Linked DNA regions of Daphnia pulex. The protein of the gene in region 1 purifies or fractionates together with the protein of each later gene. This does not show direct contact. Links are inferred from orthologs where the notes say so. Each region holds a gene or a part of one and is shown on either strand. Other genes may lie near its edges. The genes, in order: tRNA (adenine(58)-N(1))-methyltransferase non-catalytic subunit TRM6-like and tRNA (adenine(58)-N(1))-methyltransferase catalytic subunit TRMT61A-like.

Region 1 (16,711 bases):
AACCACACCGGATCGAAAACTTCTTCTTTTTTCGTTGGAATTAACTTTCAAATACTTCCTGAAATGTACAATCCAGAGGTAATAAATTTTCCTCCACCAAAATCCTTGAAACAAACATGCACATGGAAGAAAGACCAAATACTTAATAAAGTGCCTTCCCAAGACCTAGGAAATCATTTTCATGGGGTAAGAGTGAAACTTCAATAACTTTTTACATTATTCTAATAGAGGAGTATTCTTGTTACAGATTACTGCAATCTTGTCTGGGGAAATTACTGAAATAGCTGAAATTCAAGACTTCTTTTTAGACTCAACATTTTACAGAGTTAACAAATTCCCCGTTCATAAGTTGCTGGACCCTGATTTTCTCTCTGCATTTGTTAAAAAAGGACATTTTGATGCCAGAACTTTAGGAACATGGGGTGAAGTTGATCAGAGTATTGTTGTTGAATCAGGCAAACTTCATCTTTCTGTCTGCAAAGATGTGTATCAAGAGCTAGGGTTAAGTGGCCAAGCAGAGGTAATTTCATCCAAAAAGTGTCCTGCTAAATACGGTAACTTAATTATTCACTGTAAATTTTTTCAGTTTGTTAACATTGTATTTGGTTTTCGTAGACATTTCTGTTAATCTTCTTGATGATAAGTTTTCCCCTGATTCTAAATACTACAAAAGAGTTAGTTGGTGTTTACAAAATCAGACAAGTCTACAATTTGATTGGATCATGAATTGGCATCCACACGGTAAGGCTTTTCTTAATAGTGGAAATTGTATCAAGCGTTGACTAATAATAATGTTTTTACCACAGATTCTGACATCTGCCCATCTTCCCTTGCTGCTTACCTCGACTTGCTTGGCTTTCAGGTAGTTCAGTGTCTGCCATCCTTTGAAGAAAGAATTTTAAATCAAGTAAAGGTTCCACTGCTATGCACTGAAACAGACATTTCAGATGTTGTTGAATGGGTTGGAGCTGCTGCATTGAATATCACATGGTAACTAGATATGCTTTTAGAGTAAACTGAGATATTACATTCTTTGTTTTATTTATCTAAGTCCTGACCAAGAAGATTACACTTCTTCAATGACATGCCCAGAGCCCAGTTATAAATCTGAAAAGGTTCACATCTTGAAATGGAAAGGATTTTTTTCTGCAAGACAGGCAAAAGAGTTACTCGGCGTGATTTTGAAATTGCGACCAGAAGCAACAGAAAACTCTGTTCAATCATGGCTTAATCTCACTCTCATTGGATTTGATGAATTCCAAATAGGTGTGTTTTATTGGCAATCATGTTAATTTCACATATTAATTTATTTTTAATTTTCAGCATCAAGTATTTGCTCGGTTTTTACAACGGCATCGGACAACTGCCAAGTCTTTACAAACCAGACATCTAGAAGGAAAATCAAATGAATTCAATTCGACTTTTGTTATTTCATCTTCTGTAAAAACACATCTGAATAAATTAAGTCAGATACTGGATCGATTAAAACAAAAAATTAATCTTTTATATCTGTACCTCATAGTTGCTTACACATGCAACTGCACTCCGGTATCACTCGAGTTTTGCCATTACAAAAAGGAGGGAAAGAAATGTAATAGCCATGTCCTCAAACAGCCTAAAATTCTGTGTCGCAAAACAATTTTTTCATAGCATTACTTAATGATTAGAACTTAAAATTGCGTATTGTTTATGTTTAAGGACTGAATACGTTTTTAAAAGAAATCAAGCTTTACACAGCTGCAAAAAACGCGGAAACTAGTTATTTCTACCGCAAATTTTTACAAAGAACGTTTTCACTGAACGACGACTGTGTATACTAATAATGACATACCTTTGACAAAAAGAGGGCCATGAGTCAACAGCTCAGTAGGAAATTCAATCAACAGCTGTCGGTGCACTGCTGCGAAATACCTTGAAATAAAACCACAAAAGAAAAATATTTACCACATGATTATTCGTAACAGAAGTTTCGAATCCTCTCAGACCGCACCAGTCTCGTATGGAGTTTGTTCCTTTCAAGGAGATACACCAGCTGCAACTGTGTAAAACGCAACCAAGTCAATATGTTTACGAAAAATTGAATGATTTAGTCAAAGAGCCTTTTAAACCCATAGCGAATCCTTGTCGCTAAATCAGTTGGGAAAACGGAACCTTCCGACTTGGGGCCATCGCAAAATGGCTCCACTATCGACAGCGTTATTCTATATACTAATTTTGTCTTTTACCTGGTCGAGTTGCGCAGCTAAACTCACGTTAGAAGAAGAATTACAGCAACTGAAGGAAAGCTATGTAATAAATCAAAAATGTTTTATTTAATTAAATTTCATTTAGGTTAGCTTTAATGTTAAAACTATTTAAATTGCAAGGTTCACCTAAAGCAACTTATGGATATCAAAATTGTTCAACTAGAAGCTAAAGATGCTCAGTTAGAAGAACTTTTGAGACTAAAAGACCAGAAACATGTAAGTCATCGCTTTCACTGTTAAACCGGATATTAACGAACTATAAAGATTGTAAATCTAAAGCAAGGAATTGGGAATGCTCCTTCAATCAACAGTCAATTAACCCCAAGTAACGCTACTATGAGACAAGGACTAGCAACAAAAATGCCCACTTCCTGCTTGGATCTTAAAAGTCTAGGACACCAATTCAATGGAGTGTACTCGGTAATGGGAGCTAAGTATGTCGAAACAGTCTACTGCGACTTTTCCAAATTAACTTTCGATCCCAGTAAGTTCATCCTCTGATATAATACTTTGATTTGCTCAAAAGAAGGAGCATTGGAATGACTTTTATGATTTAATTAATATAGGTTTTGAAACGCGAATTGGATTTTCTGATATCAAATCTACACCGACTTACTTCTTTGTCAGGAGAAACAAGAACGATGTTTTCAGTCAAGCAAATACAACAATTATATTCGACGAAGAACTAGTAAATGTGGGCGGAGCTATGAATACATCAACGGGGAAATTCACGGCAACGACAACAGGGACTTACTTTTTCAACCTGAACGGATTGGCGTGGTTTCCGGAATCTTCTTATAGACTACTCCTCTACATTGCGCTGAAGTTAAATGGCAAGGACATCACATATTGTCACGCTAATGCGTTCGCCCTAAGAGGCACATGGAGAACCTTTTCTCTGCCATCAACGCTGAGGTTGAAAAAGGGCGACCAAATTTGGTTTGAAATTAATCAACTCTCCACCGGTATCTATCTAAATGGTAGGGGTTACACTCATTTTACCGGTGGACTACTAGAGGAGGAAGTATTTGCGTCACTATAAATGGTCTGCTTTTCAATTGCTGAAACTGGAAATATATTCGAAGATTCAATTGGTTTTACTTAAACACATTATTTATTAGTAGTAATAGAGATAGATCATGAAAATCTTATTTGATCTGTTAAAACAAAATTGCTTCGAATATTGTTGGTGACTTACTTTGATTGTGGTTGATATTACTGTTTTCTTGCTGGCGGGCTTCCCCAATTACTGGCCGGGCAGAACTACAATCAGTTCGTTTATTTTTCAAATTACGACGCGTTCCCGCCAACTGCAAAAGTTCGATCCCGCGTTTCTCCCGACATCGGTCAGTCTACTATTCTGGCTCTGGTGTCTTTTACTGCATGCCTAAAGAAGTTTAAAGGTAAAATTATTTCAGAGAAAAAAGAAATACCAATGATACACATAATGCACACGAGAAAGCACGAAGATTTAAAGTTAAAGCGAGTCAAATACTTATACCTATCTTATGAATTACAATTTTAATATTAAAACCCAACCGTTCTAGTTTCCGCTTGAACGACTAAACATTTCAGTTGTTCAGCTATTCTGAAATTTGTTTTAATCCAACTCGCTCATCGACAAGTGCAGGACAGTTGCGTTCCGATTATTCCCATTTAGTGCATCTGGTGAAATCGTTCATGCGCGATCCTTTCGACGCGTGGCGCACGTATGCACAACAACAACAACAACACGAGTGAAAAAAAAATGTGTCATTGCGACGTACGGGTTAGACTTGCTGATGAAAGATAAACCTTATCCGGTTACCGGTCTCGTTTTTAAATAGTCTCCTCCCCCAGGGCAATGCAAAGTTGTTACTTGGTTTTACTTTGAAGCACTTTGAATTGGAATATACGAATAAGTGAATTACTGCAACTCAAAGTTGTCCCAATTCCAACCCGAAACTAATACGAATACTTTGAAAATGCGAGAAATGACGACGTGGTTCTAAAAGGTAGAAACACTTGTGAAACATTGTTGAACACATGTGAACTAAATCCGCCCATGGACGTCTTAGTCATCGAGAACTAAACCGAATGGATATTGACGCGAATTCAACAACTTTTTAGGCTCTATAAAATAGCACAGTATGTTCAAAGGACGATCAGACCTGTTTGACTGAGCGTCCGGAAGCATTGCAAAGCTCCAACAGCAGCAATGGCTCTTCAAATGAGATCCATCGCTGTACTAGTCATCGTTCTAGCCTTTTACGCCCATGCAGACAAGACTCTGTATCGTGTATCAGTTCATCCTTGTTTCGGTAAGAACATTTACAAACTTTTAATTTCGCCCTATCTTGATTTTACGTCGGACTGTTCTGAATTTTTCTCTGATGGAGATCGAAATTTAAATACGGCCATATAAAAATGTCGAACAATTTAAGTTTGAATTCTGATAAATATTGAGACGTAATTTTGAATTATTCTTGGTAGGGAATGACATGACCGCCATCGTGCTGGAGGTGCGCGTATCCGACTGCCAAACGCTTCCATGTCAATTGACTCGAGGATCACAAGTAACTGTCGAGTTCGACTTTATTCCAGGTAAATATCGATTCGTGGAGCTAATGAAACGCATTCCTTATTCCTAATTTGTTTCAAGCAACCAACATTAAAAGCGACATCACTACCGGAGCTGCTGTTACCATTGGAGATATCTCGTTGCCAGATCTGGAATCGAAAGAGAGTTTGGCTTGTCCCAGCATTACTAATAAACAGTCCGGATTGGCCGTCGGTTGCAAATTGAATGCCAAAGAGGTTTACACCTACTCCAAAACTACTTCTATCTCAGATAAATACCCAGTGGTACGTTGAAAAATGATTCATTTTTAGGCGATGGACGCTAATTTTTTTCTACATTTTGTTTTACTTGACAGGCTGAAAACGTGAACATTCAGTGGGAACTTTATGATGACGACGACAAAACAATCGTCTGCTTAAATGTACCAGCCAAATTTGTGCGATCGAAATAGTTGAAATCAACTTCATGGCTATAACCCTAGAGGGTTAGTATTTAAAAAATCAGTGGATAGTTGCATTTAGAATCGTAGATGGTAATGGCACTTATTAAACAACAACATAACTAATTTTATCATTTTATAATATCCTGTGGGATTGGATTGGGTTCTATTTAAAACTTTGTCTGTCTGCACCATACTAAACAAAAAGTTCCTATTTGAGTCAATATGTTAGCTTTAACAATGCATTTTTCTAATACACGAAACAAAAAGGTTGTGTGGATGAATTATAGGTAAACAAGACCCTACCCATTCGATAAAAACATATCGGTTCGCTCTAACGCTTATCAACTTTTACATGGCTCGATTCTCTGCAATCAGTTTAGTATTCGGAAAGTTCGCTTAACTAATTCGGTAACATTTAGCTGGTGTTTCTGGAAAACAAACAACTTCGCCAACTCTTAAAGAAAACTACGTTAATTTTGTTTTTCATTAAACCACCTTTTTTCAACATTATCGTTGTCTCGAAGAGGATATAACAGAATAACTATTACAACAACAAAATATATATAGTTCTGAACTTACAAATGGCTAATGCTGGCTGGCGATAATCAGTCAGTAAGCTCAGTAGGCGATCTAGTGCTGAAGAATATCCACGTGGCAGTACTTTTTGTCGTCAAGGTGAGGCCTGAATGAGGAAAGAGAAATAGTCACGTTTGAGAAACGTACATAAAATAAAATACGTCGAATGTATGAAGACGAATGAACACAAGGTCACCTACATACATAAATACAACAAAGTGGAGGTGCAATCAGCTTCACATAAAACATAAAAAGGCTTTATGCTGGTTGTCATCTAGATTCTAGATAGATCATCAGAAATAGTATTTTACACAGGCACATGTCTCGCTTATTATCACAGCTCACATTCAAACATGATCTGCTTTAGGATTTGCCGTCACTTGTAAAACACTTTTTGTTGCTCAAAGTGTTGTCACTTTTCAGTGGCTTTTGACAAAACAAATTCCTTACTTAAATGTAATAAAACTGTCCCATAATTGACCATAAATTTAGCTACATTTGATGGCGTCCAATTAAAGTGAACAAAATTTCCATCAATACTATAGCATTATTAGCCTACCTCGTTCCTCGTTGTTGGCTAAGCCCAAAACTCGCCCAAAATAAAAACGCCGCCAATCAACTGTGCAGATGGTCAAGAATTTTCTCACACATCAACGCTGCAAGTCTCTACTGTTGAAAACGTGATTTAAAAATTCGTAAAGAATAACCTTTTCAGGAGTCAGGACATGCAAAATTGCAAATCGCAAACTTCGATCAAACTGAATTTTCCAATAGCAGACAAACTTAAGTGACAAAACAAGTTTGCCAAATTGCAAATTAAAGCAATCCTAATTTTAAAAAATAATCATTTTTTTTTTTGAATTTTGCTTCACCAAACAATTGTATTTCATGTGTACCATGAATTTAACAGAAAAAAAATATTATCTTGAAGAAAAATAAGCAAACATCTAGAATATGATTGTGAAACATCGGGCCGCATCTTCGACCGAAGACGGGCCCTTTCCTTTGTTGATATCAAAACAAACAAACAGTAATGACTTAGAAATAACTAGAAAATAGAAGAGATCCTTGACAATAGCAAAAATGCCGAAAGAAAGTGGTTGAGTATGCTAGAAAGTAAGGGTAGGCGCGTCGTGATGGTCCAAAATATCTATTGAAACAAAATGAGTATAAATGATAGAAAAATAATTCTATTTGAAGACATTATTAATTAATTACTCCCTTACCGGCAATAATCGAATACCAAGGGACAGTGACGTAAGTAAGAAGCGCGTTAAGAGGCACCGACTGAGCACGTCGTGACTCTTTCAAGTAATGGAAGGTTTGGGTGAATCCTTTCATAGTCCAAAGTGGATTACACACTCCATCGTCCAATTCTAAAAAGAAATCATTGGAATAAAAGAAAAATTAAACACAAGAACTCTCTTCACAAAAACGCTGAAACAGTAATAGTATATGAAACCATCAAAGGGAAAGCAAGACAAAATAAGCTTATGAAAAATAATAATGGCACACCGGTGCGAGGGCCAGCAGGTTCACTGGACCGAGCCGACTGACCGTCACGAAAGTGAACTCGGTTTCCGTCCACCAGCTGCTTGAACGTCGCACCCGTCTTGCGGCCGGGCACGTCCGTTGACTCCGGCTCCTCAGCCAGCATGCCTAGTAGATATAATACAGCCAAAAACGATGCCAATAACAATCAACACAAAAAAGAAAGCGACTGGCATGCGACATAAAATATTTAACGAGCAAAAATACAACCTAACAGAAATGTTTGTTAAATTTAGTTAATACATACGCAGGGTTAAAAAAAAAAACAACATCAAAGTATACCGAGTAAAAAGAAAACTGAACAGTGATTTAAGTGTAGAATCGTGATTCAAGTGTAGATGCACTTACCGTCTCGAACATCACCGGCCTCGATCTCATTCCAAGTATTGTTGCACTTATCAAGACCTTCATTCTCTGAGCGGGACATGTTAGTAGTCCCGTTCATTTGATGACTAGTGTTGGGTCGTTGACAACGGTTGCTGATTGGCATACCTCCACTTGGCTCGCTCAAACGTCTCTAAAGAAACAAGCAATTATTGAGATTTTGATCGATGGCTATAGAAAAGGTTTCTATCAACCTGTCGGGTGTTGGAGCACAAGTCTTCCGGCTCAGAATCCCACTCCGCGTCCCAAAGCTCTGTGGCGCTAAAGCCTGGTTCTGAGCATGGGGTGTCTAACCCAGAACCTGCGAACCAGCAAGAGATTAATAAGATATAAAAATAATATGCTGTGTGATCATCTGAAACAAACTTTTAGGCTTTGTTACGGCCATTTCTGAGTGGCCTTTTCCTTGGGGACCTTTCATGCGAACAAACTCCATGCGATGTGTACTTGCTCCATTCCATAAACCCATCGAAAACTTTTGGGCGACTCTTGTACCTAAACTAGCCTTTAATTTCAACAGAAAAATTTTTGTAAATAAAATAGTATACCGCAAAATTAAAACTAAATTTTTACTCACTCTAGAATCATAGACTTTCTTTAAGGCTTCGTAACGAATAGAGCCCAAGAAAAGGACTCCCTGAGGGACTCCACGTCTGTTGGTGGCAACAAGTTCGACGCAAACCATCTCGCCATCTCTTACGAGCATATCTTCATAAACCTTAATTTAAAGTGGATTAATAAACTGAATGAACTTTGTTGCACCTTAAAAAGTACCTCGTCAAAATTGTCCACCATAAAACAAATGTTGGGATATGTAATTTCTTCTAAATCACCTTTAACGTCCATTCTTCTACGACTAGGTGAGGCATACACCCTCTGTGAAAAATAATCAATAGTGTTATCATACATTTTTATTAAATGCAAATTATCTGGGTCATACTTGACAATGACGCTTCAAAACCTGAAGATCTTTAGGGCTTGTTCTTGTGCAAACTGCCAAGGTTAACATGTAATCAAATTGATGAATGATCAAGTTCAAATATAAAGTCTCCTCCCACGCCACGTCGGGATCTCCAATGGGTAGCTTTTTACTATCGCGACGGAAAACTTCAACTTCAGTCTAAAATTGATGAACACTTTATTAAACAGATGATTACTTTAAATGTGGAATTAATAAGTGATCTGACCTCAAATTTCATTAGAAATCGTGTTGATCCTTTGATTAGCTTTTTTCTTACAAAGAATAAGAGATCATCAGCATCAATACTTTGATCTGATTCAAACAGGAAGTGCCGAACAAACAAATCAGTCCAGTATGGTGTTCCATGAAGGAGCACAAAGTCTGAGTCTAAATAATAGAAAATTAGTTTTAACTTTTAAATTTTTCAACGGAAAATAAATATATGCATTTACCTTCTCTAACATATTTTCTCCGTTCCTTTCTCCTTTGAAAATTGACTTCTTCCAATAGCTGCTCCAAAGCATTAGGAGACCGAGTATTAACAGAGTCTACCATGGAACTCAATTTATCCCAACTAACAGCCATAATGACTGATTGCAAAGAATGTCAGATTTACTGAAGATCTATAATTGGAGCATTGATAATTGTTTGAAATGCTTTCAAATTGATTTGATGGACACCCAAAAGAGAACATGCATTACTGAAGAGCTTAGTAATAATCTAAGAGACAAAATGAGATTGTGACATTTGAGAAAACAAACAGGTTCAATATTTTCTGTCTATTTTGACACAGTTGACATTTGAAGGCAACGTCGAACTATTTATTTTTCAGGAAAGTTTCTAATAACACATACATAGCTGAAAATGAAACGAATATTTTATTCACTTTTAATTGATTTTCGCTTTATTATGTTTGAAAACTTTTAATTAAAAAATTGTATTTTTGATTCAAAAATACAATTGACACCGCTGTGATGTCAAAAATGTGTCGTCTGCTCATTCCAAATAAAATAAAAAAATCACATGGCGCCGATCGCACATGCGTTTTGTAACTACTGATTTAGTCGTTTTCTTTCGAGTTTGATTAAAATCTGATAAAAAGCTACATCTAAACCGTGTTCACTACCTCAACATCTCTGTTCAATCAATAGTTGACTTCTGTTCTCATTGAGTGGTATTGTGACGAAACTGTCAACTGTCTTTACATCTGAAAACGTTGCTGAACTTTTGAATAATGGAATTAGTCCAAAATGATGAATTTGTTATAGTTCAAAGAAAAAGCCAAGTGAGTCTACACCAGCTGCCAAAGAAACAGGGCAAAAAATGGTACGTCACCTTTAAATTACATTTGTAACAAGCTTAACCTAATGAACAATATTTTTCTCGATAAAGGACTGTTAAGATTGGGAGAGATAAAGTCGATATCTCATCTGTGGTGGGAAAACCTCATGGGACTTTCAAGCTTGTACGTGAAAAAGATGGCAAAAACAGTGTGTTTACACTTGAACCATCAGATGAGGTTGTGGAGATGAAAGATAAAATGAAAGACCTCAACTCTGGAGAGAACAATAAAGAAATTTGGGATGATGGCACATCTCAACAACTGAAGAAAGAAGATATTGAAGAATTAAGAGGTCAAGGGTTGACTGGAAGTGAAATAGTCACACAACTAGTTGAAAACAGCAAAACTTTCCAAATCAAGACTGAATTCTCACAGGAAAAGTATCTAAACAAAAAAGAGGAAAAATATTCTGAATGGGTTGACATTCTGAAACCCAATATCAGACACTTGGCTAAACACTTCCATTCCCAAGACCCCATGCAAATATTGTAAGCCTTTCCTTTCCAGTGAAGAATTGGATAATAATTTTATTTAATAATTTTTAGGAATTTACGTCCCGACACCCTTGCGATGATTATGTCCTTAGCCAACATCAAGAGCAACGGCAAGTTTGGTGTTTTTGATGGAGGGTGTCAAGGATTAGTCACAGCTGCTATTCTGGATAGAATTCAAGGGCACGGCACTGTCTGGAACCTGTTCCTAAAAGGAACACCGCAAAAGTAAACTGCAAATCTTTTTGAATTTTCTAAATATTTCAGCCGAGTAATCAACTATGTTGTAAATAGGCGAGTGATCCAAGCGATGAACTTTACTCCGGAGCAGTTGAAGCCCCTGAAGAACTGCAGTCTCTACAAACTGAAAGAAACGCTTGCGAAAGAAGAGAATGCGGATGGAGACGAGGTGCCGGCCAAAATGATAAAATTAGACGAAGATGCTGCGCCACCATTGGAATTCGGGTCACTCGACGGGATGGTAATTGTCTGTCGTCGACCGACCACCATCGCCAAGGAACTGGTGAAACTTTTGGCCCCATCTGGCAATTTTGTGATTTTCAGTCCATACTCCGAGGTAAGACAAAACTTTTGAGATTTAAAATAATGAAGAACTAACAAACTGTATTTCATTCGTTAAGCCACTGAGTGAAACATACATACAATTCCGCGAGTGCAACCTGGCCGTCAATCTGCAACTAACCGAAACCTGGTTCAGGACTCACCAAGTTTTACCGCTTCGAACACATCCCGAAGTGAACATGAGTGGATCCGGCGGATATATCCTTTCTGGAATCAAAGTTGTCTCGTGAAAGTGTCGTTTGTATTTGTTAAAATAAAAGAAGAATCTTCTACTCACCTCTTCATGTTGACTGGGACTTGACTATATACTGCATCTGCAATTCCAAATATTCTGTCTCTAGTTGTGTTGCTTCATTTTTCATCTTGTCAACCTGATAAGTTATGGGACATTTAATCAAAAAACCAAAATAACAGTTTAGAAAATTATGTAATACCTCTTGTTGAACATTGTGTAGATGAGTGGATGCTAAACCAGATGAAACTTCATTGCCCACCAGGAAAGATATATTAGCCGCTTGATTGAGCAATTTTGTGGATTCATTGTAAACATAAAGGCTATCACTTATTTGCTGTTTTTGGTGGAAAATTTCTGACTGTAACTGAGAAATGTGTTCCTCGATTCCCAGCCTTTCGACCATGACAGGGCCAACCTCAATACTAGTTAAGAGGGCTTTTATAGCAGATCCCAGTAATGACACATATATCTGATGGGTGAATTGGAATGTGTGAAACGAACTAGACAAAACCAATATTGAGGAGTCTACAGCACTGTTTGCAGCTTGTTGAAGTTTAAACATGTTGCTGTATTCTTGAGGTTCAGCTACGTTGACTTTAGTTTTCACTTCATCTTCCTGATTCTCATCATCGTTGAAAGTAACGACAAAACCGCTAGCCAAACTGAAATTTAGAACGTGCTGCAAAGGTCTAAATAGCCGGGTACTTCTGCGACATCGATTTGATCTGACTAAGAATTGGGCTGTTCGAGCTACCAGATGTTTAAAAGCTAGCATGGCAATTTCACACAAGAATGCGTTTACAACTATTGGTAACACGGAAAACAAATTGAACTAAACCCACTAAACCTTTAACAACGAAAAGAGAAATAAACTTAACAGCCAAACCATGCCGCCTTGTGCCTTGACGAAAATACTGCAGAGTGCAGACCATGGTGTAGACGATGTTTACAAAACTGTAGTGCCATCTAGCTACCGATAATAACAAATAAAATATATTTTTTTTCATTATTTTTTAAATTTCATTTTACGAACAGAAAAAGAAATTGAATAACAACTGATTAGATTCGATTACGTTAAAGAGAAATCAAAATTTCTTTTGATCCCTTCCGAATGTATTTCAAAATTTTCAACAGCCATTGAAGCAGGTGATTTGTGTTTGGAATGAAAGGTAAAAGCAGCACATAAATTGTTGCCGACATTCCAATAAATCGAATATAAATTAAAATCGCATACCACTTAAATATGTACATAGGGTACCGTGGGAAGAGAATCAAAGTTAACAATAATAACATCCGTCATTTGAGTGTGGGGCTGCTGTTGTTGTTAAGTAAGAATTCTTATAAAAGTTGACAAAAGAAAAAGTTATAAACCAAACACCCTGGACGGCCATACTCCCCCATGCACTTAATGTCCTTATTTTGTGCACCATAACCGATGCACCGAAAAAATGTTTCTTTTTTTGTTCATCAAATGATTAATTTTGTCGAAGAATTTTGCCGAGATAATAAATAGCCGGGATGGGTTATAAAATAAATAATCAAATTGTTGTTGTTGTTGTTGTTAAGGACAGGTTGTTTTAGTTCTTGATGAGGCGACTGGCCAAGTTGAGGAGAGCCGGAACAGCTGAGCCATCGCTACGGGCCGGGCACTTGGGGTAGAGCTCGTGGCATTCCTTTCCACGGCGTCCGTTACGGGCAGCATCCACCAAAGAATCGTAACGCTGTGCGTCCTTACCGCCCAAGGCGTAACCGGCCATTGAACTTTTCACGGAAGAATAGACACAGAGAAAGAAAAGAAAACGGGAAATCAATTACAATTCCATGTCTGTGGTTTTTCTCCTTGAATGAATAATGAACAGATTAAATCATACCTGGCCAACTGCATGGCAATCTCTCCGGGCTTGCCGAAGCGTTGCTTAACCTTGACATTCAACTCGCAGAGCATGACCTGTTGGCAGTGGGGATGATCAGAGTCCTCGCTGAGCATGTAGCGAAGAGTCAGTGGGGCCATCATTGAGGAAGTCTCGTACAATACGCCTGGAACTCCCTTCATTCTCTTCCAAACACCGGAAAATCGGCCAGGATTGCTGTTGGAATCCATATCTCCATCACGACCATCCTCCTCAGACCAGTCCTCCTAATTAATTTTAATTTGAAACATTTTAAAATTGGGAAAAAATAAGGAATAACTTAAAAGTTTTTTAGAAATGTTTATAGTACCTGGAGGGCGTTGAAGAAATTCATCATGGTCAACATGGCCAGGACGGGAAGAGGAACGGGACTGTTGGCAAGGGATCTGCTGGTAAAAGGATCTTCATCCCTGAAAGATAAATGCAATCAAAATTTAGTTTAAAAAAGAAATAATAAAATTTAAAAAAAATCAAAAATTCAAACTCACTCTGGGATTTCTTCGTAGTGTTCTTCGTGTTGATATTGCTGGTCGTTGGCCATGACTGTGGTGGCAGCAACAGCGGCAAGGGAACCCAAAACTGCGAGTTTCATTTTCTTTTTTAAGTTTCTAAAGAATTTTCTATGATTCAAATTTCAAGTTTTCCTTGCTTTCTTCTTGTGTTGTGCACGGTAGAACGTTCAAGAGTCAACTGATCCTCTGAGCTGCGAGTGCTCGTCTTTTTTAGCTGGAGGACGAAACCCCACCGTCTGCCGTTGAGTGCACCCATCCAACAGGTAGAGACTATGAATAGGTGAAACACCTCTGCATCCGCACCGACTGTGTACCTCCAGGGCCGTCAGACAGCAGCCACGATAAGCCGTTATTCTTCTTCGCCATATCTTTCCTCGTCTTCTTTTTGAGCTCAGTACACCCGGAACAGATGTGGAGCCGGGCAAAGCTAAGAAAATTGCACCAAACCCTGGCGGGGGAAAAGCCAATAATTTTCTTTTCCATTTAAAGATATACTACCTTATTTCTTCTTTAGATAAGACAAAGAGATAGAAACGGATCGTTGAGCTCGATGATTGATGTGTGTGTGGGGGGAGAAGTTCTGGTCAATAAATTTTTATGTGGTGCGAATATTCCATTTCATGGATTTTTCACGCAGGTAAAACGAAACGGAGAGTTCGTTGACAGTTGATATAACACGCCTTGACTTTGAAATTCTTTCTTCGTAATAGGAGAGACTCGTATAACTTGATGCCCTTAACCTTGGGACAACTTGAAATTTCATATAGGAGCCTAAGATAAATAAAAAAAGGATCAATAAGCTCATTGTAAAAATTTTAATACTGGCAGACGACTTAACTCTTTTTTTGCTGTATCCATTCAAGGCGCCGGATTATAGTTGAGAAAGATGATGATGGCATATCTCTTGTAGGTCACAGCAATAGGGATATTTTTTGTGCAGCATCATTCCCAGAAGAATTTCGTTAAGAAATATAGTAGCGGATTGCACAAGATCGTGAGCGTCACAAACTTGTTTGTCCTCATTTTGTTTTTGTCTTATTTCACCGTTTCTTCGGTTTAGATCGAGGACTCGAAAAAATAGTTAAACTGTTTTCCAGATGTGTTTTTTCCCGAAGGTACTATACAAAGAAATAAAAAACCGTAACTTGAGAACATTTTTTTTTTCAATTTGACATGAATTGTAGCAACATTTTCTCTCTAAAGAACGTATTGAACGTTTTAGTTATATTTTCTCCGTGTATCAGAATCAGAAAGCCATTGAAGAGGGAAATACACAGAGTTCGCTGACCATAACGGGTTTTATTCATCCTAAACTTCGTATGTCGTGTTCTACTCGAATTGTTCTCAAAATGGTTTATAATGTGGTTGTTGTACTCTCTAGCCGGGGGTTTGGTTTTTCTCGTTCATTTTTTTGTTGTTTGCGTTCAATTTTGTTATTTTGAGGCTTTTTTTGGAACGGCCATCTGTCGTTCGTGCACAAAAAAATATCAGAGAAATGTAAGCCCATCATGTGTTCAATGCCCTTTTGCTGATGCAGGTCCAATGAAAACAATCAGACCTGCATCGAACCAGTTGATTTGTGATTGATGCCTATAGTTGAACCCCCCGTTTTAAAACTGAATGAATTGGAATTGCATCATGCTTTCGTAACAAAACCCCCCAAAAGCACAAGTAGAGTAAGTTAACAATCTTCACAGCAGGAATTTCATAAAGGAACACGAGAGGGACAGGAGAAAGAATAAGAAAGGTGGAGGGGGGAGGAATAACCAAGTCGGACTAACGGTACTTTTCTTTCTTAACAGACAGGTACTCGATGGAAAAAAAGAACGAGTGTATACCTGGGAGAATATCCTCTCCTTTAGCCAAGTCATAGCGACGGTCATTTCCGCGTTCCTCCTTATTCTCACCACAAGAAAACCCAACCAAAATAAAACCTGAGGGGTTTATACACAGAGGTTATTCACCTTCAATCTCTTCAGGTGTGTTTCTGTTTGGTTCGTCTGTTATTATCGTGTATACCCCAAGTGGTTAATACCAATTCCAACAGATGTCACTTAGTTCAGAGTCAATTTTCTCCGTCATTAAACAAAATAAAATTCTGATAGAAAAATACCACAAAATTCTTTGGCAGCTCACTGCTATCGATTATGTGCAAAAATAAAAGACGTTGAAATTCTTTTCGAAATAATTTATGTCTTTTTTTTCGTTAAACCATCACAAAAGCATCAAAGAGGAATTATTTAATTTTATAAAGACAACAAGAAATTTTCTTCATTGGTTTTTAATAGTCTCACATATAATTAAAAAGCGGTTCCAGCCCGCTGGATCAAATCAAATTCAGATCAAATTCTTCTTCACATTTTGGAGGTTTTTGTTTTTGTTTTAAATTAGGGAATTATTAGAGCGGGTTTTATCATTTGTGTTGTTGTTGTTGGGAGGATAAAAATTGAAAAAAAAAAAAACGGAGTATAAAGTTTCAATCAATCAAATATTGTTTCGTTGTTTAGAGCTCATTGCACTGGGAGTAGATCTGAGCGCAGCTTTCGCCAGTACGTCCCTGTCGGCCAGCCTGGGTGTAAGCATCCAATGGGGTGAAGGTAGATTTTTCCAACAAGTAGCTGGCAGCATAACTATAAATTCATTGAAATAAATTAGATTTAAATTTTGTTTTTAAGCATCAAATTTGTTTAAAAATATGAACTTACGTTCCGAGCTGGCAGAAAAGGTAGCCGGAATCGGGAGCGTCACGAGCGCAAGCGTTATTGGCATCGCACATGATGCGTTGCATGCAAACCTCATCGGTGGTTTTGTGGGTATCGACGTATCCCTATTGAATCAAATCAATTTTTAAACAAAAATGTTTCAAATTAATTTTAATCGAATTTACCTTCATGATTGTGACGGCAGCGACAGCAGCAT
Region 2 (16,480 bases), about 9.2 Mb from region 1:
ACGCAAAGCGAAGGAGGTCAGAGCAACGGAGGAGCTCCTCCATCTATTATTTCAGTGTGTTCATCATCGCTGCCCCGAGTGCCCTCGCAAGACAGTGTTGACACTATTGGTGGCACTAGTTCCAGTGGTGGAGACTTAGAACCGATTGGGACGTCCAATAGCTTCTCGCACGTTTTGCAAAAAGACGCATATCTTGTATTTCGTTCACTTTGTCGGCTGGCCATGAAACCTCTGCCCGACGGCATTCCAGATCCGAAGTATGTATCTGTAAACCTGGTTATTCATTTTGGGATATTCTACTAGTACGTTTTTTGTTTGTTTTTAGATCTCATGAGCTGCGGTCCAAACTTTTGTCTCTACAACTTCTCTTATCAGTGGTGCAAAATGCCGGCCCAGTTTTTCGCGAGCATCCTGTTTTTCTATCTGTAGTCCGGCAGTGCCTGTGCGTAGCACTCAGTCGCGACGGAGCCTCTAGCGTAACCGAAGTAGCTGAGCTTTCCCTAGCTCTCTTTCTCGCATTATTGAACAACTTTAAGGCACAACTTAAAAAACAAATTGAAGTACGTAGCTCATCTGATTATTTTTGTGCAAGTTTAATTTATTTGTGTTTCTTGATTTGATTTTAGGTGTTTTTCCGGGAGATCTTTCTCAACATTCTAGAAAATCCTGGTTCGACTTTTGACCACCACTGGCTAGTTATGCAAGCTTTAACGCGTATCTGTGCCGACGCTCAGAGTGTGGTAGACCTGTATGTCAATTATGACTGCGATTTGTCTGCTGCCAACATCTTTGAGCGCTTAGTTAATGTACTGTCGAAGATCGCTCAAGGGCGGCATGTTGTAGACCTAAGGACGACGCCAATTCAAGAAAAGGCTTTACGGATAAAAGGCCTCGAGTGCCTTGTGACAATTTTGAAGTGTATGGTTGAATGGAGTCGTGAGCTGTATGTCAATCCTAATGCGCAATCTAACATTGGTTCGTCTTTTACAACAAGTATTTCAAAAAATCATTATCGTTATAACGTACTTTCTTACACAGACGCCGAGAAAATAAAAGAAAACCACACAGATGAAAATGAAAGCCAAAATTACGTCAACGGCACTATGACAACTCCAAAACAATTTGAAGCCATCAAGCAGCAAAAGGAAATATGGGAACAGGGGATCGTGCTGTAAATCTCTCGTCCTTCTTATTTGAAATGAATTTTTGTAATGCCGATGTTTCCTTTACAGGTTTAATCGGAAATCTAGGAGAGGCTTGCAATACTTGCAGTCGCAGAAGCTTCTTGGGGAAGAAGCAGTTGACGTGGCGCGTTTTCTAGTGACGGAGGAACGACTGGATAAAACAGTAGTCGGCGACTTTCTTGGAGAACCCGACAAGTTTAATAAGGAGGTTATGTACGCCTACGTTGATTTACTGGATTTCAACGAAAAAGATTTCGTTAGTGCCCTGCGTCACTTTCTGGAGGGTTTTCGACTACCCGGTGAAGCCCAAAAAATTGACAGGCTTATGGAAAAGTTTGCTGCTCGTTATTGTGAATGCAATTCAAGGTTTCTTAACTCATGATATTTTTTTATGTGATGTTGAGTATACAATTTATTTTGATTTTTTGTTATCAGTCTTAGACTATTCGCCAGTGCTGATGCTCCCTACGTTCTGGCATATTCAATCATCATGCTAACGACAGATCTTCATTCCCCACAAGTCAAGAACAAGATGACTAAGGAACAGTTCATTAAGAACAATCGTGGCATCAACGATTCAAAGGTGTTTCGTAGCGTAACATTATTTTACATTCCCGTCATCACTGTCTTGTTGATAATAATTTAGGATCTGCCTGAAGAGTATCTTAGTCAGATTTACGATGAGATCGCTGGAAACGAGATCAAAATGAAGGCTCATGCGTCCAACGCTTTAGGCAACAAAGTTAGCAAGTCAGGTATTACTCAGTAAATAAGAATTCAATTAGTAGGGATTACTTTTAGTAATTAATTAGCAGGGACAGCGAATGAAAAGAAACGTCGTCTTTTGTGGAACATGGAAATGGAAGCTTTGTCTTCGACTGCACGCCAATTAATGGAGTCTGTCAGTCACGTTCATTCGCCCTTTACATCAGCTACGCACTCGGAGCATGTTCGACCCATGTTCAAAGTTGCATGGACACCTTTTCTAGCCTCTTTCAGTGTAGGACTACAAGATTGCGATGATCTGGAAGTGTCAACTCTGTGTCTGGATGGTATTCGCTGTGCCATCCGCATAGCCTGCATCTTTCATATGGCTCTTGAACGAGATGCTTTCATTCAAGCCTTGGCCCGCTTTACTCTATTGACTGCCAACTCTCCGATCACTGAGATAAAAACTAAAAACATAGATACGATCAAGACTCTCATAACAGTCGCCCATACTGATGGAAATTACCTGGGACACTCGTGGCTTGACATCCTTAAATGTATTAGCCAATTGGAGTTGGCTCAGCTGATAGGCACTGGAGTTCGACCGCAATTTATTACTGGAACTCCGACTACACCAACAGGTGCCAATTTAGCTGGTAAAAATATTTTGGCTTTTTTTTATATGTGGCTTACTGTTTGTCTTGTCCCGTATATGTGGCCTAAGTTTGTTTTTTGTTTCTGTTCTTTGTCAAGGCAACAATTTGAATTTGAATTTGGGCGCCATGAATTTGAATTTGAACTTACCAGGTATCTCTTCTTCGGGTAATAATCTACATCTGTCTGATCTGCCAAGCGTCAGTATAAACTCCCTCGAACGTAAGCATTTCATAAAAAAACATTCCCCTAAAATATTTCATATATCTATTTCTGAATGCAGCTAGTGTCAAAGAGTCCATTGGGGAAACTATTTCTCAGAGCGTGGTGGTAGCAGTGGATCGGATCTTCACTGGTTCTACCCGGTTGGACGGAAATGCTATTGTCGATTTTGTCCGCGCTTTATGCCAGGTAATTATTATTGACAGTTTCTGAGCCTCCGGTATGAATTTTGTGATATTTCAATCACCTTTTTTTTAACAGATCTCACTTGAAGAGTTGGCCCATTCTACGCAGCCGCGCATGTTCAGTTTGCAGAAAATTGTTGAAATCTCCTATTACAATATGGGACGTATTCGTTTGCAATGGTCGCGTATTTGGGAGGTTTTGGGCGACCACTTTAACAAAGTGGGAACGAGTAGTAACGAGAACATCGCTTTCTTCGCAGTCGATTCACTTCGACAACTTGCAATGAAATTCATTGAAAAGGGAGAACTGGCAAATTTTCGATTCCAAAAAGATTTTCTCAGGCCATTTGAGCACATCATGAAACGCAATCGATCACCCACAATTCGCGATATGGTGGTTCGTTGTGTCACCCAAATGGTTCATAGCCAATCAGATAATATCAAATCAGGATGGAAGAACATATTTTGTGTCTTTCTACTAGGTAATTGTATGATAGAAATGTTCATATTTTAAGAATCAATTCATACTCTTTTGTTCCGAAATCTTACAGCCGCATCCGACAACGACGAAGCAATTGTGGAGCTGGCTTTTCAAACAATAAATAAAATTGTAACAGAACTTTACGTAACTAACATGGCGGCAATGATCGATAGCTTCCAGGTAATTATACTATCATAATAATGCCACTGGAAAGTCTGTATTAATCTTGGATATACGATAGGATTGCGTCAAGTGCCTAAGCGAGTTCGCCTGCAATCCACTTTTCCCGGATACTAACATGGAGGCTATCCGTTTGATAAGGCTGTGCGGTCGGCATGTTGCCGACCAACCAGCTCTGTTTCGCGATGGGGGTAAATGAAAAAAAAATGCACTGAAAGTTTACTTGACTTAACAACATATTAAACTATCTGTGTGTTTTTTAAAGGTGCCCAATTGGCAGACGACATGGTCAACAGCCAATTAACTTCAGCTGTGACCAACTTGGGATTAATTCCCGAGGAAGAACGCCTATGGGTCCGTGGTTGGTTTCCCATTCTGTTTGAGTTGAGCTGCATCATCGGACGTTGCAAACTAGACGTGCGTACTCGCGCTCTAACTGTTCTCTTCGAAATGGCTAAACAATACGGTTCAACGTTCCGGTCACATTGGTGGAAGGATTTATTTAAAGTTATCTTTCGAATCTTCAACCAATCGAAATTGCCGGATCAGTTGTCTGAAAAATCTGACTGGCTTACTACTACATGTAACCACGCACTCTACGCCATGGTCGATGTTATCACGCAATATTTTGATTTGATCGGTTCATTGCTTATTGATGATTTTATCGCTCAGCTGTTGTGGTAAGCTTTTAATAGCATAAGCTCATAGTATTTTTATAGAATACATGTTACATTTTTGGTGCAGGTGCGTGACCCAGGAAAATGAGCAACTAGCGCGCTCAGGTGTCAATTGCTTGGAAAACCTGGTGATTAGTAACGGACCCAAGCTGGGTGATGCTTCTTGGTTACGAATCTGTGGTTGTGTTGATGACATATTCCATTTAACATTACCTGATGCCCTATTGACGTGGAGCCCTCACTCGGCGCCAGCTGAAACGGATAGTGGAGTCAAAGATACACAGCGACTCTTCAATGGTCTTTTAGTTCAGTGTCAAGTCCAGTTGGAGCTGATCCATACCATTGACAACATCGTTTTTTTCCCTTCTACGACTCGCAAAGAAGATGCGGATTTGCTCGCCTCTGCCAAAAGCATTTCGGCTAGCCAAAGAGACCTTGATCTCGGTATTACGTGATATTTTTGTTTTGTTTTTCTACAATCTTTGTATTTATACAACGTTTTGTTTCTATTTATTTTTATAGATCAAGGAATGTTTCAGTTCATGTCTACAGAGCACCTGTTGCTGATGGTCGATTGCTTAGCAAAGTCGCATAATTTTGCTCGCCAGTTCAACACCAACTCGACGCAGAGGAATGTATTATGGAAGGCAGGATTCCGAGGACCTGTCCGACCAAACTTGCTGAAACAGGAAACGCAAAGTCTTGCTTGCGCCATGCGCATCCTCTTCCGCCTTTACCACGACGAAGGGCGACAAAACGAATGGGGAAAGGTAGCTGATAAACTGACACATTTGGGTAAGGACGCCCTCGAGTACTACGTTACTCTTGAGACCGAGAGCCATCGTGATGCATGGTCACCTCTTATGCTCCTTTTCCTGTGGAAGATAAATCAACTGACTGACGAAAAGGTAACAGTTAAATTTAATTATCAAGGGTTGTTATTAATTAATGTGTGTATATTTTTCTTTAGTTTAAAACGCACGTCAGTTGGTGGCATCAGCTTCTGTGTGAGTTGGTGTCTTTCGAGTTAAAACCGGAATTGCGGTCATTGCTTAGAAAGATTTTTCTCAAAGTCGGTCAAGTATTCCGAGTCATTGCCGCCGCTCCATGAATATTTATCTATTAGGTGTTGTTTAGTACTTTGAAAATTTATACCCCTAGTTGCTCCCTCATATGTAAACCTCCAGTTCCCGTATCGAGTGATCACTTCACCGTCCTTGATAAAGAAATAAAAAGAATTTGAAGTTTACTAGATCGTTATATTTTCTTACTGACACTCAGAAGTTACACAACTTTTAAAACAAACGATATTAGAATAGAAGATAATACAAAAACTAGATTTATTTTTTAAACCTAACGTCGTAAACATCGAATGAAATGAACGATTATGACATAATAAGCCCAGACTCCATTCCGTGTTTTAAAGTTTAGATTTTTTTATACTAGCTGTTTTTTTTTTGTTTTTTTTTTGCTATATTTTATTATTTTCCACCGCATTTTAAGTGTCGCGCCATGGTCGCGCCAAGTTTGCATTTCCCTTACTCCAGTCCATCTGGTGCCCAAGAAGTAAAACTTCATGTCAGTATCCCAATACACGTGTTTGGATGTTTCTTGAAGAAAAATTGAAATACAAACACATTTTTTAGTTAGGAAAGGTAAAGAATAAGATCATTTAGAAAATGAGCTTCGCCAACACCAAATGTGTAGTTGAAGAGGGGGACACTGTTATTATTTATGTAAATCCACAAGCTATGTATGCTTTACAAGTTAAACCCCTAATTGCTACTAAAAAAGGCGATATGGTTGAAAACATTTTTCAAACTGCATATGGTGCCTTAAAAGTTCAGGAACTTGTAGGGAAAAAGTTCGGACATAAAGTGCAATTTTCTCGTGGTTGGGGTTATCTTCTTCATCCAACACCTGAACTGTGGACATTAAACCTTAAACATCGGACTCAAATCCTTTACACACCTGATATAAGCTTGATTGTAATGCAACTGGATTTAAAAGCTGGCTCGGTTATTGTTGAATCAGGTATTATGTGCAATTTTTCATTGAAATTTTTAATTGAATGAATAAGTATCCCAATAATTTTATCAAAACATTTTATCAATCATAGGAACTGGAAGTGGATCTCTCTCTCATGCTATCTTAAGAGCTATTGCACCCACTGGTCATTTGCATACTTTTGATTTCCATCAACAGAGAGTTGAGATTGTGACACAGGAATTTTCAGATCATGGATGGGAACCATTTGTTACTGCCAAACAGAGAGATGCCTGCAAGGATGGTTTTGACTTGGAAAATGTAGCTGATGCAGTCTTTTTAGACCTTCCAAATCCATGGCTTGCAATTCCTCATGCTGTCAAGGCTTTGAAAAAATCAGGTTTATTTTCCATTTGATTTTGCTTGTCATGATGTATGTAATCATCCTTTATGATTTCCAGGAGGAAGAATCTGTACCTTCTCCCCATGTATTGAGCAAACTCAAAAGACATGTGAAGGTTTGCTGGCTGAAGGATTCAAATATATTGAGACAATGGAATGCCTCCAGAGAGAGTACCAAGTAAAAAACATCACCTTACCTGAGATTGATGACTACAATTTCTCCTTTTGTAATACCCCAGAAACGGTATTTATAATTAGCTCGTGTAAAATGTGTGAGTACCTAACTTATGGTGTATTTTTTGAACAGAACTGTGAAGGTAATCAGAAAAAAGATGATCGCAAATTTAGAGCGGTACTTCCAGCTTTACAAATGGCAGGACACACCGGTTATCTTACTTTTGCTACGTGGCCGCGTCAGTCAGAAAAGTGCCAGACATGATGAACTTGTATTAAAAGATTGTTGTGTAAAGTTATTAATCATCTCTGAAAATACATCATCAATCAATATTCAACCTTACAAAAGACATCAATATACTTTACTTACTCCAATTGCATTTGGGTTTTTATTCCAATTGTAATCAAAACAACTAGTACTGAATGACCTTTCTTCAATTATTGACATGTACATTTAAAACCATTTCAGGTTTCTCTATTATCCGAAATTCAGTCCCTATGTTGTCAGCAAAAATTTTACATGGTGGTGGAGTGATAATTGCCAGCAAATATTGTGAATCTAATACTAAAAAAGAAAAATATGAAAATTCTCTTCCTTCAACATCGCTGTTCTTTTATTATTATCTATACACTAACTCCACCTTACAGATGGCTATACAGATGTTCTGGTATCTCAGACAGGTCCATCCTCAGGCACTGCCAGCAATAAATTTAGACAAGAAATCATTGGGTTTTGGATTGATGGGTGTCCTGAAGTAGTTCATAACATGTCCTTTTTGCTTCCACCGCTTCACAGTTTCAACAAGTTCCATTTGGCCCTTTACAACCAACATATCAATAACTCTTACATCCTTAGCATGTCGGTGTTTCTCAAATTCTTCCCTCAGCTTAGCGCGACATTGGGCTTCATTCTTCGGAATATCGTACTCCAAAACTGCGAAATTTACAGGGTTTTAGTCAAATGGTATAATTTGTTGCAATAGAATTGACGAATTTGTTAATAGATCATTTACCTATGTATGGGACTTGACGATACCAGGCCTTATACAAATTAAGGACCCGTTTGCGAGCTTCGGCATTGTCGACAGATAGCAGTGGTCTCACTTGTTTAACTCCAGATTTAATAACTGTTCCAGCAGTTGAAGCCATTTTGATAATAGAACAGAAATGTTGTGATCTAAAGGAGTGAAGGTGGTTTCTAAACAGTAACCAAATTTGTTTCATGTCAAATGCTGCCGAATTAAAATTTAAATAATTAAAATTTACTAGTGCCCAGAATTACATGTATATATTTATTTTTGAACTTTTAAAATAATAAAATTTATTCGATTTCGTCCCGTTATTTCAATCAGTTGTGTACATTGCAACGTTGGTTACAAAACCATGCGGCTTCAAAAATACGAAACATAACAAACAGGATAAATTTGTGGACACAATGTCGAATCTGAATCAGACGAGTGAATTAAATGCAAATTTTCAACATATTTTCGAGTCTTTGATGTTTGAAGACATTAAAACCACAAGTGGTAATTTCAACCCAAGCCAGAAAGCTGACATACAACGGAAAATTGCAGCCCAGCTCTATTATTCAACAAACTCTGGAGATATGTATGTTTATTTATCTCAGAATATTGGTTATATTTGGTTACCTAATTAATTTTTTATTTGGTTACCTAATTAATTTTTAAAAAATACTTATAGTGATGAAGATCCTGCAGTTTCTTTGACTCTGTATAACTCATACATCCACAAATACTTCCAGATTGTGGATGAACAGGACCTTTCTAGAGGATTAGACAGTTATTCAAAAGGTGCTTTGGCACTTGCAAGCTCTTTTAAAAATGGTAAATCTAAGATTTTAGTTTCCAAGCTTATACTAAATTTTTTAAGTAAACATCTCAGAGAGTAAACAATGGAGTCTAAAAGATCTTCGTAACACAAGTATCTTCCAGACACTTGAAAATGACTTGAGTAAAACTGAAGGAACAATGAAGAATATTCAAGAATTTGAGAAAACACTAGAATTTTCAGTACAACTTGAAAAAAATAAGAATGAAGAGGAAAAATCCACTCAACTACAGGTTACTAAACTAAAGCCATGTGAACCAGAATTTAAATCCAATTCAACACAGAAACCTCCAATAGTTTATCCGCAAGTGAAATGTTTTAATGTGTCTGAAAGAAGAGCTGAGGATGTTACAGCAAAGAAAAATTCAACTATAAATCCCCAGATCAGGTACCCTGTGAAATCTGAAGTAAAGGTTGATGAGACAGTTAAACCTAATATTCCATTCCGTACAGCCAAAGAACAATTAGTAAGTTTACTGACATACACTTACATAATTTAAATTACTAATGAAAACCAATTCAAAACTATTCTCAAAGATTTTTGATCAAAAGAAAAAAAATGCGGGAGGAACTAATAATTCGACTTCGAATGCGCCTTCCTATGGTTGCCGTCCCAAGTCTCTTGGCCAACGTCGTGGTTTAAATAGCCCTTTCATTCTTCCTATTAAAGATGCCAAATCAAACGAGGGCGAAAACAACGGTGTAGACAAGAAAAAAATTGGGAATAATGATGAACAAGAAAAAGTTGTTGGTAAAGCTTGTGTTTTTAAAAAACTGTTTTATTATTTAAACTAGAAGTTAACTAGATACTATTCACAGACGAAAGGTTGAAAAATATTGAACCACGGATGGTAGAGCTAATTGAGAATGAAATCATGGATAATGGATCGCCAGTGAATTGGGACGATATAGCCGGTCTAGAATTCGCCAAGAAAACTATCCAGGAAATTGTTGTTTGGCCAATGTTGCGACCAGATATTTTCACTGGTCTTAGAGGTCCTCCCAGAGGTAAGTTTTTTTATGTATTCCCTTTTCTACTTGACATTTATTTTGCTTGGCAGCTTTTAAAGAGTATGTAAACTGCAGGTATTTTATTGTTCGGGCCACCTGGTACAGGGAAAACCTTAATCGGTACGTTAATTCACTTATTTAGAGACAAATAGATAGATCTAAAAATTCGGTAATTAACAGGTAAATGCATTGCCAGTCAATCCCGATCAACATTTTTCAGTATCAGCGCATCTTCATTGACATCCAAATGGATTGGTGAGGGAGAAAAAATGGTCCGAGCACTATTTGCGGTTGCAAGGTTATCGAAACAAATTTTAAGTCATAATTCAGATTATTTAACTGAAATTTTTTTAGAGTGAATCAACCCTCGGTAATCTTCATTGATGAAATCGATTCTTTACTATCGCAGCGGTCTGAATCGGAACACGAAAGTTCGCGCAGAATCAAAACGGAATTCCTCGTCCAACTGGTATATTTCCCTGCCAATATTTTCATTATAGGCTGAAGTGATACACAACATTTTTATAATTAAAGGATGGAGCAACGACGAGCCAGGAAGATCGTCTCTTAGTAGTTGGTGCAACAAATCGACCGCAGGAGTTAGACGAAGCTGCCCGGCGCCGATTAGTTAAACGATTATAGTATGGATTCGAAGAATGTTGCTCTTTCGTTGTTACCCTAGTTTCTTTAATTTAATCTTGTTTTAAATAGTATACCCTTGCCCGAATTCACAGCCAGAAAACAAATTATTCATCTTTTAATGGCCGAGCAGCGTCATGTTCTGGGCGAAGATGAGATTGCTGATATTTGCAATCGCACTGATGGCTATTCCTGTGCAGATATGACCCACTTGTGCAAAGAAGCTGCTTATGGACCTATTCGTTCCATTGCTCTGGGTGATATTGAGCACATATCTCCTGACCAGGTTTGTTATTACGGTTGTAAATGTGTGTGTTTAACGTAGCAATTTTGTAAAAGGAAAATAATACGTATTTAAGGTTCGCCCTATAACCAACGAAGATTTCGACGCAGCCTTATGTCAGGTTCGTGCTAGCGTGTCCAGTCAAGATTTAGACCTTTACGAAGACTGGAACAGGCGTTACGGCAGTGCAGCGAAATAAAATATTTCCTTCCTCGTGTTTAATAAACCAATAAAAAAGATTAAATATGATTTCGTCCATTACTATGCCACACTGTCTCTGGAAGGGATTTTTCTATCTTCCAGTTTCCTCCTTTTCGCGCAATCTAATTAAATTTATCCTCTTTCGCGTTCTAATACCTCGTCTTCTACGTTCTCATCCGTGTTCTTCATCTTTTCCGTCTCTTTTTGTGTATTTATAATCAACTTTGGAATATATAATTGAATAGTAATTTTTCTAGTAGATACTCGATACATTTTTTCAGATAAACAGCGACATCTACAATGTTGATTGCTACCTAGATAAAACATTTGTTTACTAAGACATCAAAATCAAGTGTTTCTGTTTTTAGGCTCGTGCAAACAGAACTCAACTTCTTTCAGTACTAAATAGAGAGCTAAACAGATGGGTCAGTGAATTGATCTTCATCTTTCGGTCCGTTATCAGCTATCCTGCTAGAAGTGCGAAGCCCAAATTCCTCCCAGCGAACGCTTGAATCCGGCAGAAGATCAACGCGCCGAATTCGACGATCAGGACCCCAACAGCAGTTGCGTAATTCCAAATGACGCCAAGGTCGATTGATCACCAACATAATTTTGTGATTTTTAAATTCATAAAGGAATCGTTCGACTTGCTCCGATGCACTTGGGGTTACGACCAAGACTTGCCCAATGTAGGGATAGCGAGCAGTCAATTGGCGGTAGACGGTCGTTAAATCAGCCGGATAGCGATTGAAAATAATTATATTGTTACAGAGTGTTTCCAACGGAGACCCACCTGCACCGGTCCACGAATCGTCATCCGGCAACAGTCCGTAGTTGCTGAAACTTTGCAAAAGTGTAAGGGGTCGCGAGTATTGCAGAACCAATTGGTCAATCAAAGCGTGCTCCTCCATCCAATAGTGTTTATCAAAAACGACAACCGTTCCAGGACAAGTTTCGTCCTCCCAACTGAGAATCAGCTGAACAAGTTGTTCATTGTGCTGAAATGACGGCCTTAACAACGATAGTATAAACAAAGAAAAGATGAACGATTTAAAACCCATCTTGTCACTATGACATTGACCAACCAAATGAAACTTGACAAATCTCTAGCGATACGCGTCGAACTCGGAATGAAACATGATTAATCCTTGCGCATGCGATGCAAACAGTACAACAACCTTGAAACTATACACCCAACAGCAATACCCGAATAGTATAACACATTGTAGAGTTTTGATTTGATGCATTTCCATGGTAACCAGGATTACTTACATATTGATAGAATAACCTATATCACTGTTGCTATGGCCAGAGTATTATTGTCGTCGAAATTGGATCAAGTGAGAAACAAGTCAATACTCACTGTTGCTAGACCACAGCAGCGATCTGGCAGCGATAGCTGAAACTTGACATTTAAACAAAGAAACTGGTTTAAATCCATAAATATTATACTTATACGCCTGAAAAAATAATACATGGCAATCAATAACGTGGGACGTAGTATTCGTATTTTGGAGCGGCAGCAGTCGTGGTGGTATCAGGTGGTATATACTGGATGAGGGGTGTATGTCAATAAACTTTATCGTATTGCGGTAATTATTCACGACATAAGAATCGTAAGCCTCTTTGGACGGATAGGGCACAGCATCCATTTGCCTTCTCATACGGTGTCTATCCACGCTTCGTCTCATCATATGCCTTTCTTTGTTTGATGGAACTAAGTTCATTTGATGTTCACCATGGCCTTGACCACCGCGTTCATCCTGGATACTCCTTTGATTAAATTGCGACACGGGTAGCGAAGCCCCATTACTTGTCTGAGGAGAGGGAAAGCCCATCTGATATAAAAAAATTTAAATAAAAACATGCAAAAACAAATAGTAAAATATCCCTCTTTCTCACCATTGGAGATGGAGCTGGTGAATTCATTGGAGAATTAATGCGTGGAGCGATTGGAGGATCTGGTTGAGGTGGTTGCTGATTAAGTCCCATCATCTGTTGGGCCATTTGCTGTTTAGGATGCGGAATAGAAATGGTTGGAGGAAGCGGTACAGGATTCAATAATAGTTTCGGAGGCGACTTCGGAGATCGGAGGTGAATGTCGAATGTCACAACTGAAAGAGTTAATTCCACTTCGGATAATTCAACTGTTGAAGAAATCAAAATTTTGAAGAAGCGACAAGAAAAACAAGTACTTTAAATTCCAACAGGTGCCTTTATCAGTTTTCCAGCCTCTGCCAGAGATCTTGGTAAAATCTATCCCCTGGAGGATACTCCAGTGTCGAGACTTGCTATATTGAACCTCCTGGTGGCCTTGTCATTTTTCTTTTCAAAATTTTACCGATTCTACACTGCTATATATTCTACCATGCTTTATACACAGGACCCACTTATGCAATCAAAAATATATATTACTAATAACCAAGTGACTTTTAAAATGATGAAAATGAGAAAAAAAGTAAACACTTTTATTGGTCAGTGCGTGCTCTCCGTTCAAAGGAGTCACCAACAGCCACGACCAATTCAAGGATAACCTCTTTTCGGCCAGTGAGATCGCCAGAACTGATTTGCATTTGAGCGAATCAATAAAATTAAAAGAATTGAAAGAGAACGCCTGAGATTCAATAATCTAGAGATTTCAATCAAATTCAACAGGACCGGGACACGAGACAGGACTGGAGCACAGCACGAAGGTCGGCCGTCAAGCCAATAAATAGGATCCCAACAGCCTCTCGCTCGCGTATCTGCAAGAATTTAGAGCATAATCGTTGCCATCCGGTTTCACTCGTCAGCATAAAAATTGTAAATTTGGTATTAATACCATATTTTAAATAGAAATAGGATCACTAGGCTATACTTATTCTCCAATTCACGCATCACGTAGCTTAATTAATAATTTCTGTTATTGTTTATTATTTATTTTGGATGTTTTTGTCCTCCCGCTCTGCACATTTATAGAAATCTTTATTTTCCGTAGCCTGTAATACTCCGTAGCCTAGACTCTGCAAGGTAAGGTGGACGTGTGTATGTGAAGAGAGTGCAAAGAAATATACATAAAAGAAGGACGCAGCGTATCATCTAGGGACTGAGATCAGGCCGGCTGTGGATCAAGTATTTTTGCCGGGACATTTCAATTGCCATATGTATTAGCTAACTATAGCTTAATATTATGCTATAACTTTTTTTATGCAAAAGAATAAAACGCATAGAAAAACAAATAAAGAAAAAAAGAAAAATGCGACCATAACGGAACAATACTACCGGTACTGGACTAGGTTTTCAATTTATTTAGCAGATTCCCACAAAATAAAGAATGATAAAATATTGCCTTGCGACATCTTTCCCGTTTTACTCAATGACTGATGACCGAGTTCGCTTTACTGGAAATAGCATCCAACTTGTTCCGCGTACCCTTAAAAAGTATAAATATAAATAAACAATTATAAGGGAAATAAAAAAAAGAAGCACGTCATTCTGCACGTCGTGTATCCGGCAATTTCCAAGAGAATTTTGGCTGGTCGAGAACTAGGATTAAGATTTTCTCACGCTGTTTTCAACGACAAATGTCAATGTCATTGTTGAATTTTATAGAATATTACGGAAATTGAGTACTGCCATGCATCAAACACGAATAACCATTCCAAACCAGTATACACGATGCTCTCATATTCATGTAATATTCGGAGCATCTTATAACGTGCAATACATTTCAAACCAACGTAGAAGCACGTAGCTTTATATTTAAAAAATACATGCAAACAATGTTTGAAAACACATAAATCTAACCTAAATATTCCATGAACGAAACAGTCGAAGACTAGTGTAGAAGCGGATGACATCGTACCGTCTATTCCTTATCACTACCATTCTCAATTTTAATGTTTAATAAGATTTAAAAAGATTAAAGTACACTGTTTTGTTGTTTGCTTCGAAAACGTGCGTCAAATTAGAACATCCGGGAACCCAAAGTCAGTAATACATCAGAGATGTTCGTTATTTCGTTTCTTCTGTTACTGGTAAAGTTATCAAGCAACTTATTTATGTTATAGGCCTATTGGTTAATATTAGTCACGTTGGTATATGGGCTGCAAACAGGTCACAGCAACTGAGTAGCCTGTAATCTTCGTACACTATAGTCAAAATAAAAATAATCATGGGAACCTAGTTAGCTTAGTTCATAAAAAATCGCATTTAGTATAAGTATGGGTTTCCAGCTTTCTTTATGTAGGAATGAGGATTGTTATTAGAAAATGCAAAAAAAAACTCGCTTAATTTGCTTAGGAAAGGATAGTAGAACTTAATTTTAATTTAAGCGCACCTTTTCATGCGGGAAAAAGGTGGTAATAAGAATAAGAAAATCAGAATCGATCAGAATTTAATTAAATGATATTTATTAGCTTACTTGTTTCTATCTGTAAGCAAATTAATTTTTATTGAATGCTTAAAATATGTTACCACAAATTCTGGTGAAATTCTGAGTGTAGGACCGTTCATTCCAGTTTACGCGTTTAACACTTATGGGGAAATCGAGAGAATAATCCTCTATGAAAAAAATTTTGTTTATGGACTGTAGATATTTGTTTATGGAACGCCAAGTGACAAAAAAATTAACTGCTCAAAATCAACTGCTCTTTGCAAATCAATTGTTAAGCGACCATGGATTTCAATCGATATCTTATGATTCCTCCCAGAAGGAGGCGTAGAAACGAAATTTTTTGGACCGCCAGCTAGAAGTCGGGGGGAGAGTAGAGTGAATTTTGAGCAGTAATTTTTAAATTTTCAGCAGTTAAATTTTTGTCACTTTCGCGTTCCATATTTATAGAGTTAAGATAGCAACCTAATAGAATAAAAAATTCTGAGCAGGGGATTTTTTTCGCATGTTTTGCAGTTTTATTTGAATTATTTCAGAGATGAAGAAAACAAAGTGTTTAGTGCCTGAATGTCAATACTGCACTCCCGCTATTTAAAATATTTTATTTTAACAAGCAATCCACCACTCAAGAGCAGCAAATCCATGGACCCTCCTTTTTTCGCATTCCGCTATGGGACCTAAAAATCTGTAATAATTCAAGCATATCCAGTTTTTTACTCCAAAATCACCTGTTTTTACAGAATTTAAATATTCACTGTCGTTCGGGAGATATTTAATGTTAAAGTTTGGGTTTTTTCAAATTTTAACAAATTGGGGGGGTCTTTGGTGTCGCTTTTTGGGTAAATGCTAACCTTTTAAAAAAAACAAATTCTCCCAAAAGTTTGCTCGGCCATCCCTAAATACCAATCCAAAAGGAATTTACATTCCGGATTAGATTGGCCGAGTTATTCCCAATCTAGTAAAGTGCAATTTTGACCAGTTTCCCACCCAGCCTAGTCGCCATATTTTATCACTCTCTCTCGCGTTCCTGGTGGATGACAGCCGAAGCATACGAGTTCTCTGCACCTCGGGCTTCATATTGCTGGCCACTAGACTATATGAAAGGGCCTACACTCCTACAGTATGTCCCCCGGTCTAAAGTGAAGGCCAGGAAAGCGTAGCTTTGGCATCTGCAAAAGTAAAAAAATTGAATTCTGCAAAAACAGGTAAATCCGGAGTAGAAAACTGGATATGCCTGAATTATTACAGATTTTTAGGTCCCATAGCGGAATGG

What was found.
Region 2: the proteins of tRNA (adenine(58)-N(1))-methyltransferase non-catalytic subunit TRM6-like (region 1) and tRNA (adenine(58)-N(1))-methyltransferase catalytic subunit TRMT61A-like purify together in Homo sapiens (affinity purification with mass spectrometry; 4 studies listed by BioGRID and IntAct, counting the BioPlex papers as one, with this or other methods). This does not show direct contact. The link is inferred for Daphnia pulex from reciprocal best matches to the Homo sapiens genes TRMT6 and TRMT61A.

What each region holds. Positions count from the first base shown.
Region 1 is NC_060026.1:1,156,692-1,173,402, forward strand, and holds tRNA (adenine(58)-N(1))-methyltransferase non-catalytic subunit TRM6-like, read left to right. Parts: upstream 1-9,904; 5' UTR 9,905-9,954; coding exon 9,955-10,046; intron 10,047-10,112; coding exon 10,113-10,550; intron 10,551-10,607; coding exon 10,608-10,781; intron 10,782-10,847; coding exon 10,848-11,130; intron 11,131-11,157; exon of another isoform or gene 11,158-11,194; coding exon 11,195-11,365; 3' UTR 11,366-11,411; downstream 11,412-16,711. Other genes in the region: ribonuclease P protein subunit p40-like, read left to right, coding at 64-186, 248-554, 616-741, 807-990, 1,052-1,266, 1,324-1,409; NPC intracellular cholesterol transporter 2-like, read left to right, coding at 4,444-4,546, 4,719-4,829, 4,888-5,090, 5,162-5,257; uncharacterized protein KIAA0930-like, read right to left, coding at 6,934-6,974, 7,051-7,200, 7,340-7,483, 7,724-7,892, 7,954-8,060, 8,126-8,264, 8,337-8,477, 8,534-8,635 and 3 more; uncharacterized protein LOC124204685, read right to left, coding at 11,417-11,506, 11,570-12,145; uncharacterized protein LOC124204686, read right to left, coding at 12,948-13,131, 13,242-13,507, 13,591-13,690, 13,769-13,872; uncharacterized protein LOC124204684, read right to left, coding at 16,296-16,422, 16,498-16,619, 16,680-16,711. UniProt on the Homo sapiens protein: Substrate-binding subunit of tRNA (adenine-N(1)-)-methyltransferase, which catalyzes the formation of N(1)-methyladenine at position 58 (m1A58) in initiator methionyl-tRNA.
Region 2 is NC_060026.1:10,306,721-10,323,200, reverse strand, and holds tRNA (adenine(58)-N(1))-methyltransferase catalytic subunit TRMT61A-like, read left to right. Parts: upstream 1-5,840; 5' UTR 5,841-5,970; coding exon 5,971-6,325; intron 6,326-6,410; coding exon 6,411-6,677; intron 6,678-6,738; coding exon 6,739-6,923; intron 6,924-6,986; coding exon 6,987-7,118; 3' UTR 7,119-7,196; downstream 7,197-16,480. Other genes in the region: brefeldin A-inhibited guanine nucleotide-exchange protein 2-like, read left to right, coding at 1-257, 326-560, 627-1,171, 1,233-1,550, 1,620-1,767, 1,831-1,939, 1,997-2,548, 2,646-2,768 and 8 more; NADH dehydrogenase [ubiquinone] 1 alpha subcomplex subunit 6-like, read right to left, coding at 7,543-7,787, 7,867-8,002; fidgetin-like protein 1, read left to right, coding at 8,289-8,461, 8,555-8,697, 8,756-9,168, 9,239-9,452, 9,521-9,709, 9,788-9,832, 9,893-10,010, 10,067-10,181 and 3 more. UniProt on the Homo sapiens protein: Catalytic subunit of tRNA (adenine-N(1)-)-methyltransferase, which catalyzes the formation of N(1)-methyladenine at position 58 (m1A58) in initiator methionyl-tRNA.